2 linked regions of the Arabidopsis thaliana genome follow. The protein of the gene in region 1 interacts with the protein of each later gene in a pairwise test. Each region holds a gene or a part of one and is shown on either strand. Other genes may lie near its edges. The genes, in order: AT1G76880 and AT1G43000.

Region 1 (11,944 bases):
CCAGAAGTTTCACTATAGTATCAACTGATGAAAATTGAATCAAAATTGGCCCAATTGGTTGGGAGAAGCCAAGGGTAATCAAGCATCCATCTATATCCATGGGTACCCGACACAAGTAATAAACTTTTGGACCTACAAATTCAAATTGGGTCGTCGTTTTCATCATTTTTTTCTTTCTTTTTAATATGAATCTCAACTTTAACTTCTTATTTCTTATCCCATTCTAAATTTCTAATATGTAAATTTACCTTAAATCGTGTAATGAAAAGTATAGTCCGTGTGGTAGATGGCGTTGGTGCGTTTCTTTCTGTAATTTGTGCCTACATGTCACGAGGTGGAACCCAACAAACACACATTATATTGGAATTAATGTTAGTATTGAACAGTTGCCAGAAAATAATAGTGTCGTATTTTAAATGAAAAGACTACATTAATTAAGATTGTCCAGTGAAAAGATAACTTTAAAAGGAAACAGAAATAAAAATAAAAATTAGTAAAGCATAATTAAACAAAACTTGATGATGATAAATAAACTTGTTTTCTAATTAATTTTTGTGGAGTTTTTTTTTTATGTTAATCTTCTATTGCATGCTTATGTATGCATGTAACATGTATCTAGGCAGATCATATACTTATACCGGCAGAACATTCTCTTGCTCCTTTGGCAGCTTGAACATTAAGTACTAAATTGTGTATATGGAGTTTATGATTTTTCCGCTGTCTTCTTATAATCAAACAAGTACTAACCACTGGAGGCTAAACTTAACGTTTGAATTATCCAGTAACACTAGAATGGATTTATATATATGCGAGTTTTGTAACTACGAAAAACAAAGTTAAAGATGTTCCGTGGCATATTTTAGAGTCATAGAAAATAGACTTTTGCTCTTCAACGCCATGAGAAATCATTTGCCTAAAACTTCTTTATGTCCCCCCACGAAATGTTGACCTTTGTCGTGTCAAAACAAAAGTAAAAGCTAACTTTGATATTATGCTTTGCCGAAACTTATTTTTCAAAAAAAACCATTTATAGCAAAAAGAATCACTTTCTTTTTGGATATATCACCTCTTTTAGGTCAATTAGGGGAAACTTTTTTAAAATATCTTGAATTGTAATTGTTGTATTCCCGTAATGCTCAAGAACTCATCAATTCCGAAGGATTCAAAGTAATTAATTTATCTCATATTGCACTCTCATTTATGGATTATGATTATACACACATCTACTGTATTTGGGTCGTCATCATTGTTTTAGCCCCTCGGAAAAAAAGAGATGCAAATAGAAATTATAAAAACATTTGCGGAAAAGAAAAAGAAGAAGATTCCGTTCCTAATAAGTAGCCACCATTCTTTCTCACATCTCATTTTCCCTTTTCCATGCCCACTTCTCTGCACTTCGGGTTTTCCAAGTTTCATTTTTTTTCTTTCAATTATCATGTTGTCGGTAAATAGTTTTTTGACAATTAAGTTTCAAAATCATTAGACCTAAACTCGTAAGTCGTAACCAAACAAGCAATATAACCCAACTTAAAAAATTTGTGGCTATCGTAGAAACGTTTGACTGCTGCATCATTATATTCAAACTATCCAAGTTATCCATTATTATGGACTTTTTATTTTTATTTTTTTTTATGCAAAAATATATTTTTGGTTAAATGCAACAACAAAACAATATTTTGTGGGTTTTGGAAAGTAAATAATTTATGTGACACGAAATAAATTTTGGGTGGAAAAAATGATTGGAGAACTTATTTATTATTTTTATTTTGGTAAAAAAATCAATTACAAGAAAGCCATTTTTTCACATGGCATTTGTTGAATTTGCCATTTTTTAAACAGTTTGTGAGTTTGCCATTTTTATTTCATCGGAAAAGACAATTTTACCCTTGTTTTGTTGCAAAAAAAATTTCAGAATTGTTCTTCCACAAAGTTAATTTCTCGATCTGGTTTTTCATGACGAGATCTCATGACAACTCCAGTTTAAGCAACACCAAAGGACGAAAGCTTTGAAACTAATCTCTTTATCTTTGAGTTTCGATTTGTCAGGAGAAATTAAAAAACTCAAAGATTTCATGAATATATGATTATAATTTTCAAATTTGGTTTCGATTTGAAGATAATTTAGAAGGTTTGATTAATTCAGTGTTTATAATTAAAGCTCTTGGGTTTATTAATTCAATGTTTATAGTTGAAGCCCTTGGGTTTACTAGACATTATCCCCTTAGGGTTTAATATTTTTTCATTCAAAATCATTGAATGAAATGGTGTTTATGGTGATGACGTTTCATGAATCGGAGACAAAAGTGATGATGTTAATAGAACTAAAACTGAAGGTGGTGATAGAGTTGAAGTAGATGCGTGGATGAAGCCCGACGGTGGTGGTCGGCAAATAATTGTGGTCCGGCAACAAGCAAAAACGAAATGGAAGACAAAGGTTGAAGACAAGGACAAAAACGTAATTGCATTAGGCCTAAAATGGCAAATCCAAAAGCCCATATCAAAAATAGCATAAACAAAAGATTTGGCCAAAAAATGGCAATCTGAACAATAATCGTGGAGAACATTATTTTGAGATACAGCGATAAAATGATGTCCACTTGTTGATTGCTTTACATGTAGGTACTTACTCAGTGCCACAGATTGTTCGAGTTCATTACACATCTATGGTTTAAAATCATCATTACAAAATTTTCCTGGTATATCTTGCAAATTGCAATAACTGTGCAATGTTAACGAGTGATTATTCACAACGAATAATCTATTTATATCTGCATATTTAGTTAAATGATGATACAAATTTTCTTCTTAAGAATCCTGAATCCATACCTACACATTTTCAGTTTCCAGAAAATTTGTAATTCTCTTCGAGGATAACCAGTGCATATGCATTTCTTTCTATCTTACATTTAATTAAAGCCGCATTTTGCTTGGAAAATGTCTAATGTTTGAGTCTTAAATACAGTGAGACGGTGCATCTAATTTGAGTTGCAATAAAAATTTGAGATACAGCGATAATAAGTTCTTGGTCATATCATCATCCTCGCATTTGCTACATGATAATATCAAATGTCATTTGTCATAAGTATAATTATCTTTTTTTTTTGTAAACAAGTATAATTATCTAACACACGAAAAAATGGACTAAGTCAAAATACATCAAACCTCATTAGTCATTACAACTCTATATGTAGACATCATATAGAATTGACAGTAAGTAGGTCGCTCCGTGAGAAATTATTACACACACAATGAAATTGTAAACCTATACAAAAATATCTTGAATTATTTCAAAATAACATCCAATAAACACATAGAAAAATTTATGGACGTATAAATATTTCATAAATCAACTTTCTACATCCGTGGACGGTGGACCTGCGATTTCAATTTTCAATACTCGTATTAAATAAGAATAAATATTTCCTACGAGTCCTTTTCGTGTACTTTAAAGTCTACTTATTGCCTTGTTTGATCATTTTAATCTCGCAATTTCAAACTAGTTTAACTAGCTATTGATATTCTATAATTCAACGGTGCAAAGTAAGACTTGGTTATGCTAGCTAAAAGAATATAAAGTGATTGTTATCTGATCCAAATAAACGATAACAGACACCAAACAAATTAAAGGTGGGCTCACATTATAATGCAAGGGACGAAAAAAGACAACATGCACTTACAAAAAAATGGTAGTTCCTTTCTTCGAAGGTTGGGTAAGATATTGTAGATTCGTGTCTAGGTTTTAAGTAGTCATAGACAAATAATGATAAAAATGAAATATGTAAATACGCACATACACTGATACACACACACACACACACACACAAAAATGAGAAGAAAACAGCTCTTAACCAATCTGACACAAAATAGGTCTCTACATAGAGGTAATTTTCAATGTCGATTAGGTAACAAATTCATAATAATTAATTTAATTAGTGTAGTATATAGCTTGCAAAACATACAGAATAAAAACAGCGAGGATTATTGTAGATATATTTATATATACGATGCTCTTCATTGTTAACATGTGCAAAATCCATAACATCTTGAATGTTCATGAACCAAACAAACCAAACTTTAACTAAAATTTGTGTTCGGTATGAATAGTAATGCTAATTTAAAACAGCTATAATAATCACAATTTGTATGATGTGATAATCCTTGCAGATTTCACGAGCGAGTGTTTATGCACATGTATATTACAAGTAAAGTAAGCATACGTAAAAAACGTTAAAGAGGAGTCACGATCATCGGTAGATACATCAATTTTTCGGTTAAACAGACAGATCAGGAAATGCGACCAAACATGTGTCGATAGTACTTATGAATTAAATTGTGACACAGCGAATCATCATCGGTCTCAAATAAGAGTGTTTTTGTATGAATGGTTGGATCTGTCACGTGCACTCCACAGTAATAATTTACGAAATCACCCTTACAGAAAAAGAGAGTCTTGCGTTTTAGGGCAACGAAGAAGAAGAGACAGAGATTAGATAAAAGAGTAAGATTCCTTTTTTTACACGTGGACCCCAAACCCCACGCTCTCTCTCATTGTGTGCATGTGAACTTGGCATCTTCTTTTTTATTTTTTGTAATAAAATAACATATACTAATAAAGTTATTTATTTATCCTACCAAGGAAACTGTTACTGAAAAAGGATGAGTAACTCTCGTCTCACAGTCCCACCATGTAATTAATTTTTATAATGTAGACAAAACAATAATGGTAATAATATGTACAAAAACAAATAACACATCGTCACCACCAACAAGAACCATTCATTTAAGAAAACATATACAATTACATTTTCTTTTATTTTTATTTGCTTATGAAAACCCCACATTGTCCCCCTATCTTAACATTTTTTATTTATATATCCCAAGGAAAAAATAATTAAATCACAGTTTATTTTAATTTTGTTTTAACATATTAAATCTCTCTTCAGTATAACTTAAAAATCAAAGATGAAAAAAAAAAAAAAAAAAAAACCCTCCAATATTTAAATTCTCATGTTCTGTATCAAAACTTAAAAAAAGATTACTAATCTTTCACCACCAAACCGGTTCGAACTCGAATCATCATCATTACAGATTATTCGTCGTCTTGTTGTTGTTGTTATTGCTAGGCACAAGCTCGAACTCACCTCCTTCCTCTTCTTCATTCTCCTCTTCCTCATCTTCATCGTCGTACTCTTCATCTGTACCTTCTTCATCATCAAAGTTCTGCTCCGACGGCTGAGATTGCTGATCAGGCTGAGCCGCTGCGGGAGTAGTTGTCGCAGTCGTTACAGCCGGAGGCCATTGCTGCTCTGGTTGGACCATCAAGGGAACAGAATTATCCGGTTTAACAAGACCGGAAGATGAAGAAGAAGCTGCAATGTTGTTGTTGCTGTGGAATTTGTTCCTCTCTCTATATAAAGCATCAAGCTGGTGAAAGTAAGGGCAAGTCTTGGAATCTTCGGGACGTTTCTTGTTGCTCTCTTTGACTTTCTTGAAGTATTTGTTTATGTTTTCCCATTTCTCTTTGCATCTCTTTGAGTTCCTGTTGAATCCTAACCTTCTCATTCCCGCTGATATCTCTTCCCACAATGGTCCTTTTGGTCCGTTTTCTTGATATTTCGAATCAAGATTCGTCCTCAGCTTTATCAATGCTTCTATCTCCACTTTCGGCCACCGCGACGAGCTCGCTGAAGCTGCAGGAGTCATATTCTGATCACCACCATTGTCCGTTTTCGTTGTGTCTAACGTCGACACAACCGCTTGAATTGGCTGCGGAAGCGGAGCAGGAGGTTGCGGTGGAGGAGACCGTTGAGGCGGTTGCTGCTGATTGTTGTTATTAAGCTGCATTGATGGTCGAACTTGTTGCGGCTGAGGCTGCGGTTGTGGCTGATTCGGTTGTTTCTCTGACAGTTTTTGAAGAAAGGCCATAACAGCAGCGTCTTTTGCAGCGGACATAGAGCGTTCTTGAGCTAAGATCTCGTGCTCGCGGTTGATTCTGGCAATCTCTTGAACTCTCCAAGACTCTTCTCTAACCAATCTCTCGTGTTCTCGCTTTTCAACAGCTTCCAAGAATTTGCGTTGAAGCTCTTCCTGTTTATCAACTACTTGTTTCATCAACCGCTCGAAAAACACCTTCCATTTCCTCTTCCTTTTCTTCCTTGTAGTCGCAGTTCCACCACCCATCTCCATGTCAGAAGAAGTCGAATAAGAAGACGAAGACGATGTAGAATTATCCGATAGAAAATCACCGGAGATGTTTGGAAACGAAGGTACATTAATCTGCTGAGTATACGGAGGAATTGATGAAGAAGGAAGCGTCGGCATAACTGTCGTTACCGGAGGAGGAGTTGAAAATATGGAGCTGTTGTTGTTGTTGTTGTTGTTGTTGTTGTTGTTTTGCTGTGGTCGAAGAGGCGTTTGTTGTTGATGATGGTGGAGTGAGGTTGTAGATTGAGACTCGAGAGCTTCTAATTGATCAAAGAAGCGATAAGTTTTGCCTTCGGATTTTCCGGTACGACCTTCTTTGGTTCGTTTGTGGTATTTGTAAACGTTCTCGAATTTCTCTTTGCATTTCTTTGCGTTTCTTATGTAACCATGCTCCGCCATTTTCCTATCAGAACCAAAGAAAAAAAAAAGATTCACAAATTCATCAAAAAATTCATGAAGTAAATAGACTAATTTTGTTATGGAAAAAAAGAAAAAGGATAAATATGGTTGAGAAGTGGATCAATCAGCATGAGTTTGTGACAAAAGAGTCTTGCTTTCTCAATCTCATGAATATAACATGACCCAACTTATATTATCTAACTGTTAAATAAAGTTTAAATTTTTAATGAAACCCACTTCAAGAACTGTCCGAATCTGAATCTCACTGAACTATACAAACCAAAAAGACAACTCTTACAAATTCGGCGAAATTCAAGCAAATCCCAAAAGACAAAATTGAACCAAATCTCAGACAATTAACACAGATCTTTAAACAACACTCGTTCAATTTAAAAAAAAAAAACAAGTTTCATAATCATTCCCAATTAGAAAACAAAAAATTCAGAGAAGAAAAAAAGAGAGAGTGGAAAAAGAAGTATACCAAAAAAAGGAAAAGGGAATAAAGAGGAAAGGGAGAAGAAAACGCGAACCTAGAAACCTCTTCCCATAAGGGACCTTTAACGCTAGCGTCTCGAAACGCTATTCCCATGTCAGATCGTATTTTCAACAACGCTAGCGTTTCCTGCCGCGGCCAACGATTTCCTCCAAACCCACGGTCGTGCATCTCTTCCGACACCTCAAACGCCCCAACCGCTGCTGCCGCTGCTTCTGTTGCCGCTGAATCGTTGTTGTTTGATTGTGGCGGTGGTGCTGTAGCAGTTGTGACGGTTGTAGCCGCCGCTGTAGTGGTCGGAGTACCACCACCCAGTTGCATCATCGTTTAATAAAGTTTTTTTTTTTTTAATCTGTTCCTCTGTTTTTCTTTTTTTTCTACTCTCTGTGTCTTTGACGGAGAAGAAGTTACAGAAATGAAAAATAAAAAAGAGAAAAAATAAAAATTTAGAGAAGAAAAAAAAAATGGGAGAGATAAAGAGAGAGAGAGAAAGAGAGAGTTTACATGAGGAAGAAGAGTGAAATCTCTGGGCGCAGGGTTTTATGGTGTTAGAGAGTTTTGTAAATACCTAAGTTAATTTCTTTACTTTATTTTATATTTGTCTGGTGATGAGATCTGCTTGTCAATCTCAAGGAGCCATTCTAACATTTATATATTTCTTTCGATTTATTTCTTTTTTACCTATTTTCTTTTCTTTTTATTGATACTTTTTCCTCTGTTTGTGCCAAAATGGAATCTTCTCAAATTTCTCTCTCCTCTATTTTCCGAGTTTTGGGGTAAATTATTTTTCACTTTGTATTTTCTTACCAAGATTTGTATACTGTAATTGTGGTTTAGATTGATTTTATAGGGGGCTTGTAATTGTAGGTATCATCAAAAATGACCTCATAGGATTTTGTATCAATATATTATTAAATCTGGTAAAGGTGTTTTACTATTTTATATTTATAATAAAAAATTTCTTTAATAATATTGAACCACGGTTACGTATAGTATAATAAATATAATTACTCGTTTTTGGTTAAATTCCAAAATGTGAGGTTATTGCTATGTACTGTTGTAGAAGAAAAAGTTAGTAAAGATTTCAATTGTAAATTTGTTTTGTTAACTACGAGCGTTACGTAAAAATATATTATTTAGTTTTATCATAGATTAAAAAGAAGATAAAATTAAATTTTGAATGATTTTCTAAGATTTGTAAAAATTATGGTTAAAGTCCAAAATGTAAAATTATTGTTGTGGACTATTGTAGAAGAAAAATTTAGTAAAGATTTTAATTGTAAATTTATTTTGCCAACTACGAGCGTTACGTAAAGATATATTATTTAATTTTATTATAAATTAAAAAGAAGACAAAAATAAAATTTTGAATGATTTCAAAGATTTGTAAAAATAAAGTTTAATTGATAAAATTGTTAAATTTAGAAGTTGTAATTCAATAATTTTTTGTAAGTATATTTGATACAATCTATGTAACAAAATGTATGAAAAATAAAGTAAATATATGAAGTAAATTTTGGTTGATTTCAATTTGGTTATAAAAAATGGGTGATGGTTGTAATTGCTACCATGGACTGTTGTAGAAAATTGGTTATAAACTTTTGACTGTATTTATTTTTGATAGCTATGTTACGTAAAAAAATATTATTTATTTCTACTTTAGAGTTTTTAAAAATGAGGTTTGTAAATGAAATATTAAATAAAATTTTCATCCCAAAACATTAAACAAAAAAAACGGAGAGAGTCATTTTCTAGTAGAGCAAAGCTAGAGTAATAGTGTGGTGTTAAAAACCAGAGTTTATCATCATGGGTTGTATATGCAATGATGAAAAAAGTGGGCACAAAAAGATATATACGAAGGAAACTGAAGGATTTAGTTTTTAACCAATAGTTATTTATTACCAAAAAAGAAATTATTGCAGAGATTTATTGACAGCTGGGCACAAAGACGGTGGTGATTATTAGTTGGTTTTTGTCCGTCCAGCTAAATTGTCTTAAAAACCCAGTTTAAAAATCACAAATATTTTAATTCGAAGTTTATAAAATATTTCAAAAAACGTAAGACTATATAATTTTCTCATACTGATGTTTGCAGTAATGAATTCGTATAATGTAAGTTTATAAAAGAAAATATAAACACATTCGACATTCCCATTTTTATTTCAAACAGACATAAGTTATTAAGCTATATGTTGGTTCAAACATTGCTTATTCATTGTTTATGATCTTGTAATGATAAATAATGTGTCTTTGTATAAATCAACAAAATGCTGCAACAGGATAAACATCAATTTAGAAAATAGGGATAATTAACAGGATTATATTTCAAAGATCACAAGTAGAAGAACAAATAAAAAAAGATAGGGGTAAAAGGTAAAAGGTAAAACGTAAAAAAAGTTGGTGGAGATGAGGATGAACTTGCTTTTTGGAACGTATACAGTGGCGGGTGACTTACGTATTATTTGAAATTACTAAATTGTCCCTAACGTGGATCCCATTGACCTTTAATCATTGAGGCTTTTTAAGCTATTAATCTATTTTATTAGCTCTCAACATTTTAAGACTTTAAATCATTAATAAACTAAACCATCCTCATTACTGATCTGGATTTGTCCCCCCTGCAAATTATTTTAATATCAATTCACTACTGATCTTCTTCCACACTCTACAAACACGGGCTCGATTTCAAAATCAATCCAGAGATTTGATGATTTTTTTTTTGTAATAAATTATTGTTATGATACAAAGTAATCGAAATAATAAATATAAATGATGAGAGGATGTTGGAAGGAAAGTGGTTAGATGGAAGTCATTTTCGGGATTGAAGTAAATAGATTGGTGACCATTTCCCGTTTGAGGCCATACATTACATTGCCTCCGTTATTCATTTTTATTTTATATATTGATGGTTTTTGCGTCATCTCAAACCGATTTGACGGCCGTTATTTAACTAAATCAATTATTTAAACACTTAAAACGATGACAACCTAAACCATCAATGTCAATAGTGCAGGGTATTAATTTCTCCCAACGTCCCGTTTTAATTTAACCTACAAAATCTTACATGAAGTTAGGAATAGTTTTACTTTTACCAATATGTAGTTTGGTGGTAAAATCCATCGTTTCTCCAAAGAGGGATATGCATTTAGATGTGATGCGTTCGAACTTGTTTTGGAATGACCTATTTAAGTTCGTGATGGAACCACATATTAACTTTAATTTGGGTCAAAATTTTCCGTATTAACAATAACAAAATATAGTAATATTTTTGGGCCAATCACAACATGAATTTGAATCCCAACATACTACGGTTAACGTAATTTGCGCAAAAACAAAACAAAACATATTCCTAAAATATTAATGGAAACAGATTCGGAGTTGCATGCATTGACAAGATTGCTCTTCTGTATATATAGATAAGAGGTTAGCACAAACAAGTACAAGAACTAAACGACTAGTAAAATGAGACATTCTAGCATAATTACTATAATAGTAATGATTATTCTGCTGCAACGCCTTCATAGTTTGCAGATTTTGCAGTTAGCATAATCGTGATACATAAATCTTTGTCTATTGCATAACGATTATCCATTTAATAAAACAATTTTTGACAATTCTGTATTTTTTAAAAACTATTTCACTAAACTGCATACTTCATCTAAAAGCTGAAAAACTTCTTTTTAGTATATACTATACGAATTTACTAACACGATATATATAGTAACTTGGGGTTATAGTAAAATGTAGATTGTCAAATGCGCAATTTGCGTATAAGACTAATCATCAGCCTACTCAGCATAGCGTTGGGGGTAAAACGATTGGAATGTTCATCGAAATTCACGGCATGATTAGGCAGTAAATGTTAACAGCGTTAGATTCAGATATTTAATGAATTACATGAAAATGTATTGAAAGCTGATATCAGGGACCATCCTTTTGGTAGCTCCTAAAAGCATTGAATATGATTTTTTCTACGAAATTATATAGTAGCCACTCGATTTTCGCATGGCTCGACCCTTAACGTTACAATTTTTATCTTATTGTATTAATAAAGAAAAAGTATATTTTATCTGTCGTGGGTCTTTTTCGTATAGGTGCACTTCGTCGGAGTTGAAAACGACCATTATATATAATAACGAGTCTTAAATAATAATAAAAACATTGCGTACCATTATATAATCTGCATCTATATATGTTCTTTACTAAAATATGTGTTTCACACTATGCTTTTGTGAAAGATGTATATGAAAGGAAAGTGGTGTCTCTTGTTTTTTATAGAGTAAAATGTCACAAAATCAAGCAAAGAGTATAAAAATATACTCTTTGAGTTACATGTGATTATTAATTAATACACAACGTTTATCCGTATAATTTAATTACTAAATACAACATGCGCACAATGATGCATATAAGCGCTTAACTTTTTATTTATCCATAACGAATGATATTATTTATGATTACTTATTTCAAATATGGTGGTTTTACAAATTACAACCCTGCTAAGAGCAGATTAATTACAAATAACAGTTTAAGAATTAGGTAGAAAACCCTAGAAAATATGAACAGAGACATTAGTGTACAAATAACCATAAAATTAAGTAAATCAATTATTGATGGGCCATGGTAATTTTAAGGTGGAGGGAAAAAATGCAAGTGGATTGAGCAAGTAGCCATCTAAAAGACGAAATTACTGCACCAATTACACCAACAACAAAAGAAAATAGAGGTGAAAAAAGTTTGTAGTTTGATCACTTTTTTCTTTTTGGGTTATATCCTTCTACTACCATAAGTTTTAACTATCTTTAATGTTGTAATTTTATCTTTCTACTACAATAATTTTACATTTTG
Region 2 (10,323 bases), about 13 Mb from region 1:
TTCCTACATAGCTGAGTATCCAAGTGGTGTTCGCTTCAAGGAAGGTACCATCACATCTACTGTCTATTGTACTCATGTCTACATTTCGCGGTTCTCATTTCTACTCTGGCTATTCTCCCTATCTGCAGCGACCAACATCCTGACCCGTTTCGTGGAAACGTTCTACAAGTCTCGCGAGGAGATTGAAAGACAAGCCGAGGCTGAGAAGGAGATACTGGAGAAAAGAAAAATGAACATCAAACAAAATGGGAACCTCTAAAGAACCGTAGCTAGTTTCATCGACAACTTCTATGCTGCTTAGATGGAACTGCAAACTATCTATCATCTCTTCTCTAGTGCTTATGTACTAGAAAATATTTGAACTTTTTTACAATTCGAAGTTTTACCTTATCTTCATTGTTCTAATAAAACTATCTGTTCGTTTTTTTTTACCTGCCTACGCATCCGTACCAAACATTTTACAAACAAAAATCTCTGTGACAATCCCAAAGATTGGCTCGTCTGAACCCTAAATAATATCTGATGACAAAAAAAAAAAAAAAAAAAACTGTGATAATGTCAAATGAAGCAAACATGTAAAAACTAGCATGAGGAAAAGCTTTATCAATGTTAATCAACCTAATGAATTGTTATCTAGTAATTAGAAGTGATATTACCTGAAGTTATGCCTCAAAATCAACATTTTAAAGGCAGAAGCATTATTAGATAGATATCATCCATAACCATAAGACCCACATTCACTGTTAACTTATCGATATTAGACAGAAAACTTTCAACAGCGAAATACAAAACAAGAGAGAGAAAACTAAAAGACACTCATCTACAACTCAAAATGCGCAAAAGAAGCAGTTAAAAAAGGCGTTGTCACGCCGCAAGGGTTAAGATTTGGTATTTCATCCTAGGCCTCGAACCCTTACATCTCCGACTAACGCCGGTATAAGACGGTTTGCTACTACTCCCGAGCCCGTTTAGAACCAGCTTTTCTGGTTCTGGACGTAGGAGGCAACACTTTGTGTGGGACATATAAGGGAATAGGCAAATGAAGTTTACTCCCAGAAGCCAAAGCAGGGAACCCAACAGCAGGGATTCCAACAAGAGCACAGCAGACTCCTGCTTCGACATCATGGTAGTATTATTGCCATTACCCTTTTGCAAACAGTAACGTAGAGACTGGTTTTCAGCAACGAAGCACTCAAGCATACGTCCTAGTCTCAAGCATTCTCTTTCGAGATACTTACTCTTCTTCTCTAAATCTTGTACATATTCCTTCTTCCTCTCTCTCGATCTAACCGCCGCATCTCTATTTCTTACTCTCCTGAACCACAATCACATCCCAATTATCAAACCTCAGTTTCTTTTCATAGCATAAAAGGCTTTAACAATCTTAAGTTAACCAAAATACACATACCTATGTTTGAACATAATCAGCTCATGAATATTAACACAAGATTAACAATAATTAAAGGCAACCAAAATTTAAACAGTCATTTACTTAAATGATTAGTTCTCAATGTTGTTATCAAAACAATAACACACTTATAGCAATCTAAATGAAACAAAAATCAACATCACTCATAATCAATCAACTCTTCAACGTCACACATACATAAACATAATAACATGAACATATCACAAGATACGCAAGCAAAATTTAAACACTCGTTTCTCAAATCTTCACTGTTACACATACGTATCTCCTAGTTCTCAATGTTGTTCTCAAAGCATAACACACTTTTAACAATCTTAATGAAACCAAAATCAACACAAACATACAAAATCCATCCATAAACCCTAACTTTTCAAACAAGAGTAAAATTAGATATACCTTCTTCGTTTTTTAGCCACAGCATCATCGTCTCCTTCTTCGTCATCATCATCATGAATCTCGCTACCAGAATCATTAGACTTCTTCTCAACAACCAAATCCGAATTCTCCTTCCCGGAATCATCAGCGGCGGCGGGAGAATCGACGGTTAGAACTTTATCAGCCGCCAAATCAACGGAGCCAGAATCGCTAGTTGGATAATCAACGAGTAGATCCGCTATGAAATCTGAAACCGATTGCTGATCCAATTCCACAAAACTCTCCTCTTGATGATTCTCATCGTTCATCAATTGATTCTCGATTTCTCCGATCCATGAATCCGGTGAAGACTGAAGAAAATCCTCCGCCGGAAGAGAATCAATTACGATTGAAGGATCGAAATCGAAGAAGAAATCTTCATCTCCGAGTAAATCTATGCTTCCAAATTCCTCCGCCATGGTCAAAAAAAAAAAAATATACAAAGAAGAAAAAAAAAAGCGAATTTAATTTAAGAAATTGGAAGAGAGATGAGTTATATAGGAACTGTGTTTGAGACTTTTCTAAATTTCTTTGCGACCAAGTAAATGTGTAGAAAAAGAGTCAGCATGACACGTGTTGATTATGGACGCGTTTTTTGAATTTTTAGCCAATGATGTGATGGAGTGTACTGTGTTATAGTGTTTCTGTTAGCAGAGGATTATTGTTTTTATGTGCCGTCACACAACCAATGAGAAGGCTTCAAGCTGGAAGAATAGGATCACAGCCGAACACGTGTACTCAGTGAAGTGTTCGTGTGATTAATAACTCGGTTCTAATTCACTTCTTTTCTCTTGGTTTGATTTTCTTATTTTCGGTACAGTTATGTAAACCAGTTAGCTATAGTCAAAACGATGTACATGTAGTTGAGATGGACAATGAGACCAAGGAGAGCAAGGCTTCTTTGACCATTTCTCAGAAATCAATCAAAATTCTTCAGTCCCTTTTTCTCTTTGTCACCGTCAACATCTTCCACGATTGAATCTTTGTTCTCCGAGAGGACTTTTCTTCCTTCGTGACCATCTTCTAGACTTTGAAAGTTATCAATTTGTTAATTAAAATCATATATTATATTGTCAATTTATGTTACATTCTGGATTATCTTCCTTATTCAATTTTAAATGAGTGATTAATCTTCATTCAATCTCACATGAATGAATTTGTAAAATTTTCAGTTCTCTAGCAGATGAGTGAACTAATTATATATGTGAAAGTTGATCTACTATTTTCATATGAATGTCACGTTATTATTTAATTATTTTCTATGTGTTCATTCAATAATTAATGTAAGATTTACATTTATTATTAATTATTTATCTTTAATTGTATCAATTCTAAATTTATTTTTGTTATTATATGTATTTTAAAGAATAAATATATTTTACTATTTTCTTCATACTCATTTAAGGTTTATTTGCTAATGTTTTGTAGTCATAACTTAAAATAGGAATAGATATTACTATAGTGAATTAGCTAATGGTTTGGTAGCTTATTATCATTAATCTCTATCTAAATAATATAATACAGAGGATGAGGAGTATACAGAGATCCATCCTCAAATTCCTGATGTTTATATATTTCCAACATTAACATCTATTAAATTGTTTTACGATGAAAATTATTTCAAGATTGTGTGAATAATTACACTTTTTCAAAAAGTACTTAAAAAGTAGTTTAACATTAAAAGCAGTTGATGATTATATATTTTTCAATAAAATGTTAAATTATATTTTAAAAAAAGTAGATAAAGTGCAATTTCAATTAGAAACGAATAGAAGACAAGTTTTAAACACCAATAGAAATATTAAAAAGCTAGATGATGTTAGTTTTAACTTCTGGACAAAAACCAAATTTGGAGGTCGTATCTCTTGTCCCCAAGAAGTCTGATTGATGAGATTTGATTTTGGACTTGCTTATCAACCGAACTTGTCAATAATAGCATTAGTAATTATAATTTTAGTAACACATTATTTACATTAATTATAATTTTAGGACAATTGTATTAACCTGACTTGTGATCTAATGACGTGGTTCATAAAGTCACTTATCGAAAGTTAATAGTGTATATTTTCTATGATATAGTTCTTTTATAATGCTAATTAAATACCTATGAAGAAATATAAGGATTGCAAATTTTGTAATTAAACTAATAGAGAGGACTCTAACAAAGCTATTTAACTACGTAAAGCATATATTTCCTTTTGTATATTACTTTTTTGTTTGTATGTAAGCGGGAATACTTACCACATGTACTACAATTCCTTGTTCACCAAACTTCAAATAACTTCCCCAACGTCCTAAGTAACATCTTTAAAATTTGAAGAACATGATAGCGAGGGAAACTAAATTCAACGTGAATTTATTTTACTTGGTTTTACTCTACTTTTGTTACTACCAAGGTGAATTTGATTTAAACCTAGTTCAAAGTCACTTTTTTCTAGCCTAGCTCAAATTATATAAATTGTGCAATGTTGTAATTGTCCTAGTCTAATTATCATCACGTTTTTTAAATTTTAGTATTGATTTCACATGTCTTAATTTTAAATTTTATTTGATGATATATTATTTGACATAGTATAAATTTCTTTTTAACACGCGTTAAAAGCAATAATTTTCTTAAAAATATTTAACCAAATTTAGCTTGTATTATACAAAAATAAAATGAGTAATATCACTACCTAACTATACTTTAGGTTTTTATTATCAAAATTTATATATGACATTTTATTATCAAAATCTATATATGACATTTTGTACATATAGTGGTTCATTTCTCACACAAGTTCTTTTAAATTTATTTTAAATTTAGTATAGATTTCACGTAACGGTTTTAAGAAGATATTCCTATTTTGTTTGACTATATTATTTGATATAATATCACTTTCTTTTTGACACGCGTCAAAAATAATAATTTCCATTAAAATCATTTGACCACTTTTAACTCTTGTTGGATTATCTACCAAATATAATTGATGTTATATAGCTATTTTATATCAAAGTCATTTTTTGGAAAAACAGGGGCTTTTAGTTAAATAAAAAAACTAGAGGACCTATAAGTAAAAATATTATAATATATAATAACATAAAAAGATAAGTAATTAACATGAGTACTATGAAAAAAAATCACACAAGCAATAAGAATTAGTAAATCATTTGTCAATCATGGTATTAATAACACATTATTTACATAAATTTTATTTTTCTTATATCTAACACGCGTCAGAAAAGATAACTGTTGTCAATATATTTATTTTACTAATTTTAACAAATAATTTATTATCTACCAAATAAAATGACAACAAAATAAAAATCTAGATCTAAATACAGCAAACCAAATAAAACCAAAGCAAAATTGATGAGAAAAAATGCTCTTTTTCACAAAACTAGGGGGTTTTGAGATTATAAAATAAATAAAGAGTCTAAATGTAAAGTTATTATAACAATATGGAAGAAAATATAAATAAAAATAAGTAACAAAAAGTAAAAAAGGCCGACCTTTTCAGTGTCTTATAAATTTCTCCATCGTCTTCTTCTTCTTCTTCTTCTTCGTCTTCTCTCTGTAAACCCCCACACAAACCTGTGGCCGCTATATTCTCCATTTTCTCAGTAACCATCTCTGTTTTTTTCTCTGTTTCTCAGATTAAGTTTCGTGTGTCAAACAGATCAAAACCCAAACAATGGTTATTCCTCTGTTTTTTTCAGAATTTTTCAATCGATGTTATTTTATAGAAATTGATTCATGGGTCTGTGTTATTTTCAGGTGAGTTCCATTGTAAAAATGGAGAACGACGACGTAATGACTCCGCCATGGCTAACACCAATGCTTCGAGCTGATTACTTCGTGACTTGTTCGATTCATTCACAATCGAGTAAAAGTGAATGTAATCTGTTTTGTTTGGATTGTTCAGGCAATGCCTTTTGTTCTTCTTGTCTCGCTCATCACAGAACCCATCGTGTTATCCAGGTTTGGTTTTCAATTTTTCATTACCCATCTATCTCTCAGGAATTTTGTCGAACACGTTTGTTTAATGAACCTAATTCTATGTTTTTTTTTTGTTGTTGTTACAGATTCGACGATCGTCGTATCATAATGTGGTGAGAGTGAGTGAGATTCAAAAACATATTGATATCTCTTGTATTCAGACTTATGTTATCAATAGTGCTAAGATCTTCTTCTTAAACGCGAGACCTCAATGTCGAACTGGTAAAAGCTTAAACAAAACATGTCAGATCTGTTCTCGTAACCTTCTCGATTCGTTCCTGTTCTGTTCTCTTGCTTGTAAGGTAAATGCTGCAATGTTGTGGTCTTTCTTCAAACTCAAGTTTGATTATATAGGTTTCTTGATTGTTTCTTATTGGTCTAAAATAGCTTGAAGGTGTGAAGAATGGAGAGGATCCAAACCTGACTTTATTTCATAGTGGAAAGAGTGATGACTCGTCGAAGATCATCAATACCGGGATTTGTAGCCGTTTGATCGACGGGATCTCGATTGCGGTTGACGACCAACGCAGCGAAACCGCGGGTGTGTTATCTCCAGAGACACCTTCAATAGAAAGCCACCGGAATTACCCAATGAAGAGTAGAAGAAAGGGTATACCTCAACGAGCACCTTTCTAAAAGGCTTTATGAAAGAGTTAAGATATAAGATAGAATATGGGAAGGATCAGAAAAGAGAAAACAAAAAGTGTTGGTAAATGACTAATGAGTAAATGGAATCATCTTACATAAATAGTAGCAAGCTTAATGATTATAAGAGTACAGAACAAAAGTGTGATTTTTTCATAGATATTGGGTTATAAATATATGATTTTAAACAGCCTTATTTACCTCACTTTTGTCTCTTTAATTATTTTTTATAGCACTATCATCTATTTTTATGATTTGGAAAAATAAAATTTTAAAATGTCACATCACATTTACAAAACATGGAGATGTAAAAATACATATTTGTATATTTATAGGAGATTCCTTCATGGTCTTTTGAATGTTCATTTTAGCTTAAAAAGTGAGAGAGTGAGTTGGCATTTATGGAGGGGATATGTGAAAAGTATGGTATAAAATAAGCTTGGTTTAATAAAGAATGGAGAAAGTGTAGTGGTGCGGATTTGTCATACTTTGCCATCAACATTGTTTTTGGGGTTTGGTGAGAGTATCTTATAATTTTTTGGGCAAAGATATATTTCCTTTTGTGGAAGGTAAATCATGTTTTGCTTGTTTACCTCCTTTTAAAGAAAACGATTTAATTTTTTATTTTGCCAAAGGATTTTCATTTTTATTGACTTTGTAGGTTCATATGGTGGACACAAACATATTGGGATTAGCCCATACATTACAAGGCTCATGCCCCATTAAAGATGTCAACTGGGCTGTTCATGTCCAAATGAACAGCCCTATTTTTTGGTCATTATTGGTTTAAGCTAAATGGGATCAAATCCAAATTAGACCAAACCCAAAAAGAACCATAATAAATCAGGCAATCCATGGGTCCAAATCTTATTATATAAAATACAGTTTAGAAAGTTAGTAACTCGCGAGATCATGACATATGGCAAGTATATATATATATATATATAATTATGTTTATTAATCAAAAAAAATTAACAGTACATGTGTTATGATCAATTAAATAAATCTAGCATGTATTAATTTAAAAAAAAAATTATTAGTAACTCTTAAAAATAAAAAGACATTGAGAAGATACCCTGGATATGTCCTGGAATATCACTGGCTTTGAGGATTGTACCTCTCATGCTTGCTTCACTTATATATTCATTTGAGGATTGTACACCCTCGAGGTCGTTCTTGAGGATTTGAACATGACTTTGGGATTTACCTTGCACAAGACCGAACCAATTTATTCTGACACCCTCGAGAAAGCGTACAATTATTTTTATTAGTCTTTCATAATTTCATCTCCCTGGTATTAATATATAGACAACTAACTCTAGCCTATGTGTCGATGTCGTGCTTATAAAGAAACTTACTTTTTAATTATACCTTGATGCTTCCAAAGTGAGTCTTTTTATCGTTGGTTGGAATGTATTGTTATCGTTACAAAGTTATTTGATTGTTGGTCTCAAGGGTAAGAAAAGGAAAAGTTTTTTTTTCGTTATTATAAATGAAGTAGTTTATCAAGTTGTGTTGGGTTTCAAATTTGTCTCTAAAATCTATGAATTTTTCCTACAGCCTATGTAATATTGGCTTATATAATAAAATTACCGAGGACCAATAACATCAATACACACATTCGGAAACACATCGAATCAATAAGAATACAATGTTAGCGCTTAGTGCTACTGGAGTCTATACTCGTCACATCCCAGATGGTTCGTTCTATATCTTTCTATTGGATTTACTCAAGTACTTATCTTTTCTCAATTAACCGGTTACGGTAAGATTTTGATCATACCTATATTTAAGAAAAAACAAATAATAGTTAATTCATATTTTACTAAACTTATATATATATATATATTGATAAGTTTATGCAATTATTAGTATATGATAATGATGTGACCAGATAGTTACATACGATTTTCAAACAAATTATTATTTTATCGAATTATGTTAAATATTATATTGCCTCGCTAAAGACCAAAAACTTTTATAAATTATAGTGATTATTAATTTCTCGAGTATTAGTTTATAAAAAAATTTTTTGTACAAACTCTTCACAAGTTAAAGTTGAATTTACAATTGTGGTCACTTATTTTCTTCTCCTAATTTATTTGAATGTTGTATAATTTATAAATTACTAGATTAGGACCCGCCCGATGGACGGGTTTTAAAGTTTTAAAATAAAATTTTATAAATGTATATCAAAATTTGTTGTAAGAGAAAATATTTTTGAAAAAATAGATAACTTTTTTAGCTAGAGAAAAGACTTATAATATTTCTTTAAACCTTTTTGTTGAGAAAAAGTTTTTATTTCACTAATTTTTACTTCTATATTTTAGTTATCAAATGTTTTACCACATACTTATCATTATTAGTAATGTCAATTCACAAAAAAGTAATTTTGGAAATCCATATATTTTTCAATTTTTTTTTATAATCCAACCACCAGTCAAACTTTGATCTTATTTACATTATTTTACAAATATACTATTGAACTATGCTTTTTACCGTTTACAAAATATATATATGATCAGTTGATAACAATACCCCAACTATATGTCTATTTTTTTTTCTTATAGTTTCTTTAACCATTTAAATTGTTGACCCAAAAAATATATTAAATAATCACATAAAAATAATTGATGACATTTATATAAAAGAAAAAAATATGCTTAAATGAAGTGAGTGTATAACCAACCTAGAAATTAGAAAAGTTGAGAAATTAATTTGACATAACTAAAAGAAAAATGAAAATTATAAGTACAATGATATATGAGTCTTAGATAATAAAAGTATAAAAATAAAAATTAAAAGGAAAATAAAAATAAAATAAAGAATCTACAAAATACTACACCTAAATTAAAAAATAGCAGAAAAGAAGAAATATATATTGATCTAAATTGTCTTAACAAAAAAATGGAAATTCAAATAAACAACATAACAATTTATTTTAAATCCTAACAAACTTTTAGTTATAAAATAAAATCAAAAGGAATAACATATAATTTTAAATTAAATAATGACACATGTTATAATCTAAAATTATTAGCTCGATGATATATAATTAATATTATATTATTCAAAAACTTTATACTTATTTTTTAGTTTAAGATTTTCAATGCATGTAGTCATTAGTGAAAACACCAAAAATTAGGAAAATAGGGCTTAAAGGGATTGATTTTTTGATTATTTGATGACAATGTTAATATAAATTTTAAGTCATTTAATATGAGTTTGACATTAGGTAAAACTAATTTATGAGATTATAGAATACAACAAAACTATATCTTAAACAATGTTTCTTTTCCAAAATAGTTTGTGGTTTTCTTTATTTTTGGTTCATTATGTTTTGTTATTTATTAAATATTTTAATATGAAGTAATTCTATTATTTTGATATGATATAATTATATTGATGTGATATGATATACATATTATTTTGATATAAAATTTAACAGTTATCCATTAAAATAACATGTGCATAATCAAAATCGAGATTATCATGATGAAATAGATAGTTAAATTGTATAGCAAAATAAAATCTATAAGATTAAAATTTTGGTTTTTATTAATTACTAAACAAAATATAAAGAAAGTGTGTTGACTAACTTAAAATTTTAATATCATCAATAAGATATAGTTAAAATCATTAAGTATATAGCAAAATGAATATTGTAAGATTAAAATTCGATATAAATTTTTTTTACTAGATTAGATATTTAAAAAATAGGAATTATCATTTACTATTTAAAATTCCAATCATCGGTAAACATTTATAATTATTTTTAAACCCGCCTATCTATACCGGCCTAACCTAGTAATATATGATATCATGAACACATTTTTTCAAAACGTCATACTAAAGT

What was found.
Region 2: the proteins of AT1G76880 (region 1) and AT1G43000 interact in a two-hybrid assay, tested with the Arabidopsis thaliana proteins (one large-scale study listed by BioGRID).

The regions. Positions count from the first base shown.
Region 1 is NC_003070.9:28,861,070-28,873,013, reverse strand, and holds AT1G76880 (Duplicated homeodomain-like superfamily protein), read right to left. Parts: upstream 7,701-11,944; 5' UTR 7,421-7,700; coding exon 7,134-7,420; exon of another isoform or gene 6,608-7,133; coding exon 5,083-6,607; 3' UTR 4,789-5,082; downstream 1-4,788. UniProt on the Arabidopsis thaliana protein: Transcription repressor that negatively regulates root hair growth by directly binding RSL4 promoter and repressing RSL4 expression. Required for the synthesis of seed coat mucilage.
Region 2 is NC_003070.9:16,135,198-16,145,520, forward strand, and holds AT1G43000 (PLATZ transcription factor family protein), read left to right. Parts: upstream 1-5,328; 5' UTR 5,329-5,517; coding exon 5,518-5,520; intron 5,521-5,600; coding exon 5,601-5,804; intron 5,805-5,908; coding exon 5,909-6,124; intron 6,125-6,209; coding exon 6,210-6,458; 3' UTR 6,459-6,595; downstream 6,596-10,323. Other genes in the region: AT1G42980 (Actin-binding FH2 (formin homology 2) family protein), read left to right, coding at 1-44, 129-259; BZIP60 (basic region/leucine zipper motif 60), read right to left, coding at 865-1,315, 1,826-2,262.